Linked DNA regions of Oryctolagus cuniculus. The protein of the gene in region 2 purifies or fractionates together with the protein of the main gene of each other region. This does not show direct contact. Links are inferred from orthologs where the notes say so. Each region holds a gene or a part of one and is shown on either strand. Other genes may lie near its edges. The genes, in order: MECOM, SUV39H1 and EHMT1.

Region 1 (3,646 bases), on a different chromosome or scaffold from region 2:
AACTATTGCAGAATACTGCCTAAGAGGTATTTTATTAAATACGTAATTTCACCTAAAGAATTTTTGGATTCATAAACAAACCTGAATAATTAAGCCATTAAATATAGATTCTGGGCCCGGCATTGTGGCGTTGTGGGTGAACACGCCACCTGCAGTGCTGCATCCCATATGGGCTCTAGTTCAAGTCCTGGCTGCTCCACTTCTGATCTAGCTCTCTGCTAACGTGCTTGGAAAAGTAGTAGAAAATGGTCCAAGTCTTTGGGCCCCTGCACCCACATGGGAGACCTGGAAGAAGATCCAGGCTCCTGGCTTCATATGGGCCCTGCTCCGGCTGTTGTGGTCATTTGGAGAGTGAACCAATGGATGGAAGACCTCTCTCTCTCTCTCTTCCTTTCATATAAATAAATAAATCATTGTAAAAAATAGAGATTCTTTTAGGAGAACTACTCATGTTATATACAAAACAGATTTTTGTGATTAACATTACATTTACTTAGAGCTCTTAAGAAATCTATTGAGAAACAGAACAGATGCAAAGGATGTGTTGATGGGTTAACACAGAGTAGACTCTTGCATATAAAGGTACCCATACATGTTTGCATTAATCCTCCAGGAGTATCATTCTTCTGCCACTTGACAAATCACTTCAAATACAACTTTTACATATTTTCCACTCCAAAAAAACAATGTTTAAAAATAAATTTATTGTCATGGGAAAGAAATTCTGTTGGCTTATTCCAAACTCAGAGATATCCAAAAATGAGTCGAAACCTACAGAGCCAATTTTCTGAATTAAAAAAAAAAAAAAACAGATTTCACTAGATCAAACAACTTGACTCTCTCATAATAATAATAATAATAAAAAACCTTTTGGGGAAGATGGGAGTTTGTAGTGTTAAAACCACCTTTCGTATCTGCACTCACATTTCATCATCTCCTACTGGCCCTTACCTGTAAATAGGGTCCATAAAGAAAGGAGTGGGCCTGGCATGTTGCAAGGAACCATCTGAAGCTGGTCTTGATTCAACATTGTTGCCTTTCTTTTCCCCAAACACATGGTTTTTCCGAGGCTCAGTTAGCTTCGTCCCACTGGCTCTACTCCTACTGCCCATACTTAGATCCAGGGGCTGGTCTTGGCTTGTGGCAGGCGTGGCTGGAGGCTTGGAAGGGACTGGAGTCAAGGGCTTCTCATCCTTTCGTTTAGTGGTGAGATCAAAGGGGGACTCAGAGCTGCCCTTCTGCAGTTTCTTTACTTCATTTGGTGATTGGGGTTCCATTTTCAAAGGTAACGATCTCAAGTCTCTATCAGGAAATGGGTACATTGATTGAGAGAATGCTGGAAAAAATGGGAGGGGAAACATGGAAGGGTAAGGTAAAGCTCCAACTTTTTTGTCTTGCAGCCCCACCAGTCCTGTTGAACCAAAGTATTTTTCAGCAATAGAAGCAATAGCCTTTATAGAATCATTCACAGCTCCTGACACCGCAGTTTGCTCCTCTAAAGATGGTGAGAAAATGGAATGATTGCTGTATTCTTTCTTATTATTTATTGAAGCCAGATTCTGCAGAGGGCTTACTTTGTCTTTGAACATTTTACCATTTTCTTTAAATTTTTCTTTATCACTTTCAATGTCACTTTCCAGATCAGAGCCCGAGGTGGTTTCCAGGTCACTGCCACTTGGTGTACTGACATCATCAAGGTCACTACTCTCTGACTGGTCACTGATTTTCTCAAGGGGCCTCTCTTCAGAGGACCTCTCGGCCTGGAGCTCCACTGGCTTATTGTCCCCTACAGGTGGGTGTTTAGAGAGTGCCTTCAAAATATCCTGTGTAGCTGGCAGTATCTGAGGATGTGTCATGAGGGGACTTTGACTTTTGTTTGTCTGTTCAGTACTTGATAGTCCTTTAACAGGAGAACTAGCAGGTATCAAAGGAGGCCTGTGGTACAAGCCGGAAGGAAACAGACCAGGGAAGCTAAAAGAAAATCCAGGAGCTGTTGGAAAGGTAAGACCAGCAGGATGCCTATTGGCGCCAAAATAGTCAGCAAGGCCCGGGTTGGCATGACTCATATTAACCATGGACGTTTTATCCATAGCTGGGGTTCCAGGAAGTGAAATGCCTTGGCCAAAAAATCCACCTGCCGCAAAATGGTTCTTGCCCTCACAAAACCTCCTGTGTTTATTTAAGGAAGACGTAGTGCTGAACATTTGTCCACAGTCTTTGCACTTGATTTGGGTTCTGCAATCAGCATGCATGCGCTTATGTCGACAAAGGTTTGAAAACTGAGTATAGGATTTATGGCAGACCTCACCTGTGTGCAAACAACAAAAAAGAATCTCAGGCTTTATGGCAATTGCTTCTGAATTTAGCAAGTATCACAATTGGTTTACCCCAAATTTCAATTAAGAAGCCAGGAAAAGATATCGGGGGTACAATCTGGATGCTCCAAACACAGAAAACCCCCATTTTACTAGATTCCAAAGCAAGGCATCCAACCTGACAAATGTCTCCAGGCAGCACAAATATTCCATATATATATATATATATATTTAAAGATTTTGTCATTCCCCCACTGCACAATATTTTGCATAATATTTGTGTATTTAAATCTTTCCGAAAAAGTCAAATTCCAGCATGCACTGACTCCCCACCCAATAATGACACTAATAGAATCTTTAAAAAAAATCACAAGTCTTAAGATATATTAGGTATGAAGCATAAAAGGAACCCTTTTAATTTTAGACAAGTTAAAGAATTCTACATCGTAGGACCCAAGACAAAATAGAACGGCCTTTCCCTCATCCAGAAATTTCACTTTAATACCTCTCCCCTTGAAGAGAATATCTGTGCCTGCTCTACTGTTATTTAATTAGCATTATATCATACACTCTCATCATTCACACATCAAAGCCACATAACAATGCACATTGTGTATTCTGAGACTTTTTTTAACAATCATTTTCATGATTTGAGAAAGACTGACATAATTTACAATGGCTCTATTTTAAGCCTGCAAAGGAAACTAAATTGAATGTAGCCCATCCTGCATTGCTGGTTCCCATGAACTATGATCACGTCCTCTGACTTCCCCTCACACCAGTGGCTGTGCTAATCTTCCTGCATTTATGAAACCCCCGTTCCTGGGAAACATGTCCACTGTTGTCCTATCTTCACCCGTTATCTCAGGCCTTGACTTCTATGTGTGACAGCCAACTGTGGTAAGCAGGGGAGAGGGCTGGGAGTGCTCCAATCCAGCAAGGACGACGCAGCAGTGGGTACGGCTGTGAAATAGCCCCCTTTGCCAGGAATTTACCAAGAAAGTGGAATGTCTTTCTTCTTCATGGATGTGTCATCAGATCTAAGCATATTTTAAGACCAAACTTTGCAACCCCGAAGGATTCCCTTGCTAAGAAAGAATCCCACTCACTTCACAGGTCAGCAGGCTTATGATATCTGTTTCAAAGTATCGTATTTTATTTTATTTTCCTTTGCTGTAAATGAGCTAATCGTCCATGTGAGTTTACTTTAATGTTTCTGTGCATGTTTAATACATGCAGAAACAACATATACTCTGTTGGCCATTCCTGAAACACATTTATTTTAAGAAATTAAATGGAAGACAAAATGCCCTGTGTATTGTGGCACACGA
Region 2 (4,212 bases):
GTTCAGGTGAGAAAATTGCCTGTGGCCACACAGTTGAGTGCCTGGCGGAGCCAAGCAGTCAGGTAGCCAGGCTCCAGAACCCAGGCTCTTAAATCTCCTCTCCAGGTCCAGAGGGCCAGCGGTCATGTCTTCCATCACTGTCATGTCCCTGGAGTGGGAGGGCCCTGTCTGCCCAAAGAGACGGGGGTGGGGATATGGGGGGTGGGCACGTGAGAACCAGCATCTACACTCTGTTCTAGAATAGGGCTAGGGGACTGAGGTAGGACTTAGCTAAGCCCTTGACTGTTGAATTCGTGGCAGGCAGGGTAGAATGCCAGACAGGTTAGCCATGTTCCAGCCAGCTCACAGCTGGCCTGGTAGGCAGATGGAATATCTGTTGAATTAACTGCATGACTGTTTGGTGCACTATGTAACACGGGGACTAAGAGGGAGAGGAGCCACAGGAATCAGGCCTGGCCTGAGGGAATGGAGATACCAGATCTGCCACCAACGGTCCACCTCCACTGAATCACGGCACACTCAAGGGCCTGGCTCCATGCTCTGCTGGCTGACCTGTCACCCTCTAGATGCTGAGATCAGTGGGCTACTGACTACGATGAGAGGCAGGTGGAATGGGTCACAGGGCAGCTGGCCAGCAGCAAGACCGACATAGCTGCTTGCCTCGATGGTTCTATGTGGTTATGGACCGTGCGCCCTAACAGGATGCCAGCCTCTCCCAGGGGTCCAGAGAAGCAGAGGGCAGTGACAGGTTTGAAGGACCCATGGTCCGTTGCCTGAGGCTGAGATGAGTCGCCGGGGAAAGGCCAGGCTGGCTGAGCCAATGACAGGTGGCATGGAAACATAATTGTCCCTCTAGTTGCTATGGCTCTGCTCTGGGGCCTAGCTGGGTGGTGTGCGTGGGGTGTAACCAACGGCAGCTTGTCCTGACCTAATCACAGCCTGCCTGCCTGCCTGCCTGAGGCCAAGGCTGGATGCTGGAGCTGATGAGAGGATCTACCTAGGAGCTGGTCCCTGGGCAAGGGCTGCTTGACTGGCCCGCGCCATTGCATTGCGGGGACCGTCTGCGGGAAGGGCAGCCTCGCTAACAGCTGGGTGCCTGCCTCCAGGGAGTCGCAGCTGGCCCAAGGCACAAATGGATGCTGCCATTGACTGACAGAGCATGTGAAGGAGGCGGGGCCTGGCGAGACACCTGCCTGGGGAGACTGACCCATCGCCTATTTGAATAGGACAACTGACTGGGCAGCTGTCCGTGGCGCTGCTCCACGCTGGGTCACGGCCTGCTTGGGGTTAAAATGTGGTGACGGACTGACTGACGGAGGTAATTGGGGGTCTGACAGGACGGAGAATCCCCCGTACGACTGGCTGACAACGTGATTGGCTACCAGCGTGACAGACAGACCGGCGAACGGGCAGGGCCTCGGGCACCCTCAGCTACCGCTACCGCCGCCGCCGCCGCCGCCCAGACGCACTCTGGGAAAGCGCGGCGAGCACCCGCCTCCGGGACCGAGCCGGGTGGCGGGGAGGGGTCCGGTCACGGCTCGCCGGTTGGTCCTCGCCGGTGCTGCTCGCGGGGAGGCGCGGCCAATAGGCTGCGCGTTCCCGGCCACGCCCGCGCGAGCTCTCTTCTCGCGAGGCCGGCTAGGCCCGAATGTCGTTAGCCGTGGGGAAAGATGGCGGAAAATTTAAAAGGTGAAGCAGTGGCGGCAGAGGCGCGGGTTCGCTGGCCGGGCCGGGTGGGCTGGAGGGGTGGCGTCGCGGGCTCGGGGTCCTGGCGTCCAAGGCCACGGAGCCCGGAGCCGGAAACCCGGCGCAGAAAGGAAGGGGCTCGGGGAGCGCGGGCCTGGTGCGCGGGGCTGGGCGGGGCTGAGGGGAGGGGGCGCGCTCCTCGGAACGCGGTGGCCGCGGGGCTAAGTGGGGACGCGGGAGAGGGGCGCGCGCGTTGCAGATCACGACCGGAGCGGCGCGCGCACGCGCAGGGGCTTGTCGGGGAGGCCTCGCCCGCGCGCGGGAAAACCGGCCCCCGGTGACCGTTACCCCTACGGTGTCCACGCGAGACGCCGGAAGGGGAGGGAAAAGAAGCGGGGACGGACCCCCAAGGGGGCTCTTCAAGAGAGAGGGTTCCTCCAGCTGAGGGGAATAGGAGCTTCCCTCTTGGGAGAGCCGGACTCCCCCATGTGCAAGGAAAGCGGGGTGACCATGTTGGGGGAGCTCCTCTATGTGCGGACAGCTGCGAGGAGTGTGCGTTCCACAAGTGGGAGGGGGACCTCTGCGAGGCAGGAGAGCCCAGTTGTGGTCCGCGCCTGAGCCCGTGGCAGGAGGTGTTAACAGGGACCACTTGCGAGGGTTGGAGGGGGGGCGGATTTCACGTGTATGCGAGGGGATTGCATCGCAAGGAGAGGAAAGCGTGGGCCCAGGCTTAGAGTCTCCACTAGGCCTTGCCTAGGGGGTGGGGGGAGCCCACGGAATAATTACGAAAAGCTCTTGTACATTTCTAGATTGACATCTAGGCTATTTCGTCATAAGTTTAAATAGGCTGGAGTTTTGTAATGGCAGGCAGGTAGCAAATATTAGACAGTTTTGAAAGACGAAGTGGGGACGTGGAGTTGAAGTGCTCTGTGACATGCTTTGATAAAATGGCTTCTAAAGCATATTAATTAAGAAGGTGCCTTGCATCAGAAAGAAGGATACATTGTTTTTAAAAATCCGTCTTGAATGATCTTGGTAGCCCCAGAAAGATTCCAGGTATGTTTCAAAGAATGGATGTCACTAACCTATATTGCTTTGCCTGTTGCTGACTTCAGAGCGGTTTCACCTTTCACAGAAATGTGATTGAGACAGAAAGTCAGAATGCAGTGTGGAAGAAACAAACTTTGTAGGTTTAAAGTCCCCAGACTAACCATTCAAGGAAGCTTCCTGTAACATAGTATCATTCCACAGTCCTGTAGTCATCATTCCAAAATCTGAGTGCTGAAAGCTTTTTCTTAAATTTGGCACCATTCATGGCAAAAGGAGATTGATTATAAGGTCGGACTGTCCAGTGAGGTTACCTTATCTTACATCTTTATTTCAACTACTTAATGTGAACCTTTGCACTTTTGCTACAGAGCGATCAGTGCACTTGATTATGGCTTGATGTGCCTGTCCAGGCTGGGAGTGTTTGCACATGGACAGGACATACCTAGAGCTACACTTCTAAAATCCAAAAAAATGCTGAATTCTAAAACTCATCCAGCCCAGGAGCTTCAGATAAGGGGTTGAGGACCAGTCTTTCCAGTTATGCCTTTGTTTGGTGCCCTGGAGGTTTTAATCCCCTCCCCTCCCCACCCCCTCCCTGGGCAATGCACCCTACTGAGATGGGGGGGGTTGTCCCTTTCTTTTGCAAAGTGGAAAGAAAGGTGATCCAGAACCTAGGTTGTTTTAGGACTGGTGTAGAGGGAGTCTGAAGGTCTGGGAAGATTCCTTTAGGCCAATCCCTATAGCAAATGGCACTTGGCGGCACTTTGAAGTTCACTGCCCCAGGGGTAGCCTTGGGCAGTAAGCACTGAGGTTCCCTGGAGTGGCTGTTGCAGAATTTTCCACTTTGGGGAAGACCTGTGGGGTCAATTTCACTACGTCTGGGGTAGCCCAGAGAGGATTTGGAGCCCCTGGCCAGGTCAGGCTGCCCAGTAATGATTCTTTCCGCCTTGTCGTTCCAGGCTGCAGTGTGTGTTGCAAGTCTTCTTGGAATCAACTGCAGGACCTGTGCCGCCTGGCCAAGCTCTCCTGTCCTGCCCTTGGCATCTCTAAGAGGAACCTCTATGATTTTGAAGTCGAGTACCTGTGTGATTACAAGAAGATCCGCGTGAGTCTGCAGTGACCGGGCCCTAGGGGAAGGGGGTAGATCTTGGGAAGTTGGCTTCCTACTGGGTCATGTTCCCGCCACCCCCCCCAATCTGTGCCTAAAAGGGAAATTTCTCTTCTGATCCTGAAAAACTAGGATGAGTAGCCTCTCTCCCCTCCCCATTTTACAGGTAGGAAAACTAAGTGGCTTTCTGAGGGGGCAGAAGCCAGAATGAATCCCCAAGTAAATGTCTCATGCCACGTCCCTAGGAAGGTAAACCAATCGCGGAGACTGAGATGCTAAGCCCAGGAGTGAGCTGGTGATAGCTAATGGTCACTGGGCACTTTCAGTGTGCCAGGCGGTTCCTCTCAGAGACTCATTTAATCCCTGTG
Region 3 (3,646 bases), on a different chromosome or scaffold from region 2:
CAGTGAGAGTCCCAGTGCCCACAGAACACGGCCAGAGTGAGCAGAGGCCCAAGTCAAGGCATGGCCAGAGGCCTGGGGACAGAGCAGCAGGCACCTTCAGGAATGCGGTTCTGCACACCCAGGGCCTCCCGGCCCTCGTGCCACCCTGCTGCGGACACTGGTTCTGAGACAACCCAGGCAGCGGCAGGTCTCACTTACTCGCAGACAAAGGTGCCCAGTGGGATGTCCTGCAGGGAGCGTACGCCCCAGCCCATGTCCTGTGTCCGATAGAGCTGCAGCCTCGCCCTGGAAGACAGTGCACAGGTGGACACTTGCTGCGTGCTGGACACGACGGGCAGCAGAGCCCAGCTGTGCATAGGGACGTGAATGGTGACTGAGGAAATACTATGATCTAGAAATGGCAGCGCTCGCCAGATTCAAAGGCAGCCGAGAACCCAGAAATGGCCTGGGAGCTCGGCCAGGCACTGGCTCTGGCCTGGCCTCAATTTCCTTGTCTGTAACATGGGGGACATGGCTGGGTAAGGACCAGTGGCAGCCCTTCTGCCAGGACCCAGGCCGTGGGGAGGCCAGCTGAGGGGGCACAGACCACACACAAGGACTCCTCAGAGCCATGTGTGTCCCAGCATCCCGCCCACGGCACGAGCCTATCCACTGGTGCCCAAGGCAGTGGGGGAAGCTGGGTCCCCTGTGTCCAGGACTTTCAGCACACACAGGGATACGGGGCATGGGCTGGTCACCAGCAAGCACACTGCTCTTTGGTCCAGCCCAATCCGCTGCACACGTGGATTTCCCCTCGTAACTCAGACATATTCATGGTGGTCAGGGGGCTCTGTTCTCGTGGCTGGAAGGAGGGCACTGGGGACTACAGGATGAGGGGGCGGCGCAGTCTGGCAAGAGCCCCAACAGCATGGGGCAGTCAGGCATGCCTGAGTATGCGATGGGATGACAATGACTGTGAATGAACTTGGGAACACAGTGACCACGCGACCTGCTCCCTTGGGAAGCAGATCTCCCGGGATTACAGTGACTGTGAATGAACTTGGGAACACAGTAACCACGCCACCTGCTCCCTTGGGAAGCAGATCTCCGTGCTGTGTCCGAGGAAGATCACCCGCTCCACCTGCAGACACCCCACATTCTTGCTGTCAGGACCTCGTGACTCAACGTGAAGCAGGGTGTGGAGCTGTGGTGGGAAGCACCGCTCACCTGAGACCATTCTGCACGACACGGTTGCGGCAGTTCCTCCAGCAGGAGCAGGCGTGGTTGCACTCAAAGATTAAGGGAGGCTCCGCCATGTTGAACTCTGGCAGGAGCCGGCCATCCTGTGGACACACACACCATCAGGACCCGCCACTCTTCGTAAATGAGCAGAGTCGGCGTGTTCACCGAGTGCTCATACCAACAGGTAAACGTCCAGGGAGGGCCGATGATGTGGCACAGTGGATTAAGCCACCAATTGGAATGCCAACGTCCCATGGAGTGCCTGGTTCGAGCCCCAGCTGCTCTCTGCTTCTGATCCAGCTCCCTGTGAATGTGCCTGGGAAGGGGGCAGAAGACAGCCCAAAAGTGCCTGGGTCTTTGCTACCCATGTAGGAGACCTGGCTGGATTCTGGGCTCCTGGCTTTGGCCTCACCCAGCCCTGGCTGTTGTGGCCATTTGGGGAGTGAACCAGTGGATAGGAGGTATTCTCTCTGTCTCTCACCTGTCACTCTGCCTTTAAAAAAATAAATCTTAAAAACAAAACAAAGAACAAAATCCAGACAGCTTTCTGGTCACTCTTTCACACCTAGGGAACAGCCAGGCAGAGCTGTGCACTCAGGGCAAGGCTCAGACCAGAAGCCCCAGCAGGTCTGTTCTCTCTGCTCACTGTAGACCAGAAGCCCCAGCAGGTCTGTTCTCTCTGTTCACTGTAGCCACCAGGGCACAGGTCCCCCTGCTCCACAAGGATGGCCTGGCTCCTGGGCTGTCCTGCACTCTCTGTGGACTGCCTTGTCAACCCCAATTCTGTAGGGGCGTGGCCACCTGACCCATCCCACTCTTCACCCTGATGCTGGGCTGGGTGCACCAGGGCTGTGCCAGTGAGTCCTGGGGCCCGGCAGCTTCATGAGTGTTCTGAGAGTAAGGGCTGTCCTTGGAATGCTCGTTCCCACCCACTCTCCGCACGATCCTATCACAGAGGACACAGACCCTGGACGTGAGCCCCGATGCCTCCAATCCCATCCCCCAACACCAGGGTCACTCACCCCATCACCACCCTTCTAATGTGGAGTCCACTTTGCAGAGTGGACTGCTGCTTCCACCTTTGCCCACCTCTGCTACCTCAGAATACTCTGGCTTCTACTGCCACCAATGACCTCGGAACTCACAAAGCCAATAGTCACAGCCCCATCTTGTTGGACAGCTCTTTCCTGAACAGCACCTGTGATCCCAAGAGGCCCTTCTCTCCTGTCTCCCCGCAGCTGCCTCCACACTGGGCTCCTCCCACCAGCCCTTGTTGGTCACTTCTGAGCCTGTGGCCTTCATCTCTCAGGCTACGCACGCTCAACCAGCACAAAGCAGAGTACACCAGACAACAGAGATGCTGCATGTTCCATGGCCAGGCCAGGCTGACCACCTGGGAGCACGTGTGGCTAACCACTCTCCCCCCCCGACCTCCCCACGTGCAGGCAGCCAGAGGATGCTGGCCTGAACCCCCAGCACTTCTGGAGCCCACTCCTCCGCCCTAGGACCTGCTCAGAGCAGTCTCTTGTGTCTTCTGGTCTGCTGCCTCTTCCCCACCTGACTCCCCTCCACCTCCTTCTCAAAGTGCCACAACAGTCTTGGAATCAGGGAGTTAAGATCAGCGCGTTTGTAAATCCCACAACAGAACTCTCCACCCCAGCACAGGGGCACGCGGAGGGTCTCCTCACCTTATCGTACCAGCAGCGCATGCTGAGCTGACCACACATGCAGTTGCTGGAGGAGCAGTCATCTATGCACACGCAGTACTGCAACAGAGACACGGCACCGTCAGCGGGCAGTCTCTTCTTGTGTCTTCTCTCTCCAGGTCATAGTCACAATTCTGCAACTTACCCTCTGACGTGTGCTTTGAGACAGGCCCCACGGGGAGTGGGAGTGCTTGGGACGCTAAGGAACACACTGAGTGCTTGCAGGAGGAGGAGGTGGGCGGTCAGCAAGGGAAAAGATGGGCAGGGGCCAGCACTCAGGAAGAAGTTACAGAAATCGCACTGCATTGGAGGCTATTCTATAGGACAGCAGCAGACAGAGCCCAAGGCCAGGGAGCTCCCACCAGCAAGGCCACAGGACACAGCTGATCTTGGCCAGACAAGGAAGGGACAGGCTGTGGGTGACAGCTCCCAGTGAGGTCAGGGGCTGGGCAGCTGGTGTTTGCTGTATTCTGCCTTTCAGGGCCATATCCAGGTCAGAGTGCAGCCCAGGGCCAAGCCCAGCCTGGGACTCAGGACGCCCCTCCTGGCAGGAGGCCGCAGGCCCCTTCTGCACCTGTCCTGGCCCGCGGTGGCCCCTCCTCCGGCACCACTGACCTGCAGGTGAGTAATGTTCCTGTCGATGCTCATGGGGGACGTCACGCAGTTCTGAGACACGTACTTGTAGTTGCTGGGGCACGGCTCGCTGTCCACGGCGTTGA

The links.
Region 1: the proteins of SUV39H1 (region 2) and MECOM purify together in Homo sapiens (affinity purification with western blotting; 3 studies listed by BioGRID). This does not show direct contact. The link is inferred for Oryctolagus cuniculus from reciprocal best matches to the Homo sapiens genes SUV39H1 and MECOM.
Region 3: the proteins of SUV39H1 (region 2) and EHMT1 purify together in Homo sapiens (co-immunoprecipitation; 3 studies listed by BioGRID and IntAct, with this or other methods). This does not show direct contact. The link is inferred for Oryctolagus cuniculus from reciprocal best matches to the Homo sapiens genes SUV39H1 and EHMT1.

The regions. Positions count from the first base shown.
Region 1 is NC_091435.1:111,194,869-111,198,514, reverse strand, and holds part of MECOM (histone-lysine N-methyltransferase MECOM), read right to left. Parts: intron 2,309-3,646; coding exon 952-2,308; intron 1-951.
Region 2 is NC_091453.1:33,884,256-33,888,467, forward strand, and holds the start of SUV39H1 (histone-lysine N-methyltransferase SUV39H1), read left to right. Parts: upstream 1-1,364; 5' UTR 1,365-1,670; coding exon 1,671-1,689; intron 1,690-3,695; coding exon 3,696-3,841; intron 3,842-4,212. UniProt on the Homo sapiens protein: Histone methyltransferase that specifically trimethylates 'Lys-9' of histone H3 using monomethylated H3 'Lys-9' as substrate. Also weakly methylates histone H1 (in vitro).
Region 3 is NC_091432.1:237,913,262-237,916,907, reverse strand, and holds part of EHMT1 (histone-lysine N-methyltransferase EHMT1), read right to left. Parts: coding exon 3,543-3,646; intron 2,988-3,542; coding exon 2,910-2,987; intron 1,323-2,909; coding exon 1,207-1,322; intron 286-1,206; coding exon 199-285; intron 1-198. UniProt on the Homo sapiens protein: Histone methyltransferase that specifically mono- and dimethylates 'Lys-9' of histone H3 (H3K9me1 and H3K9me2, respectively) in euchromatin.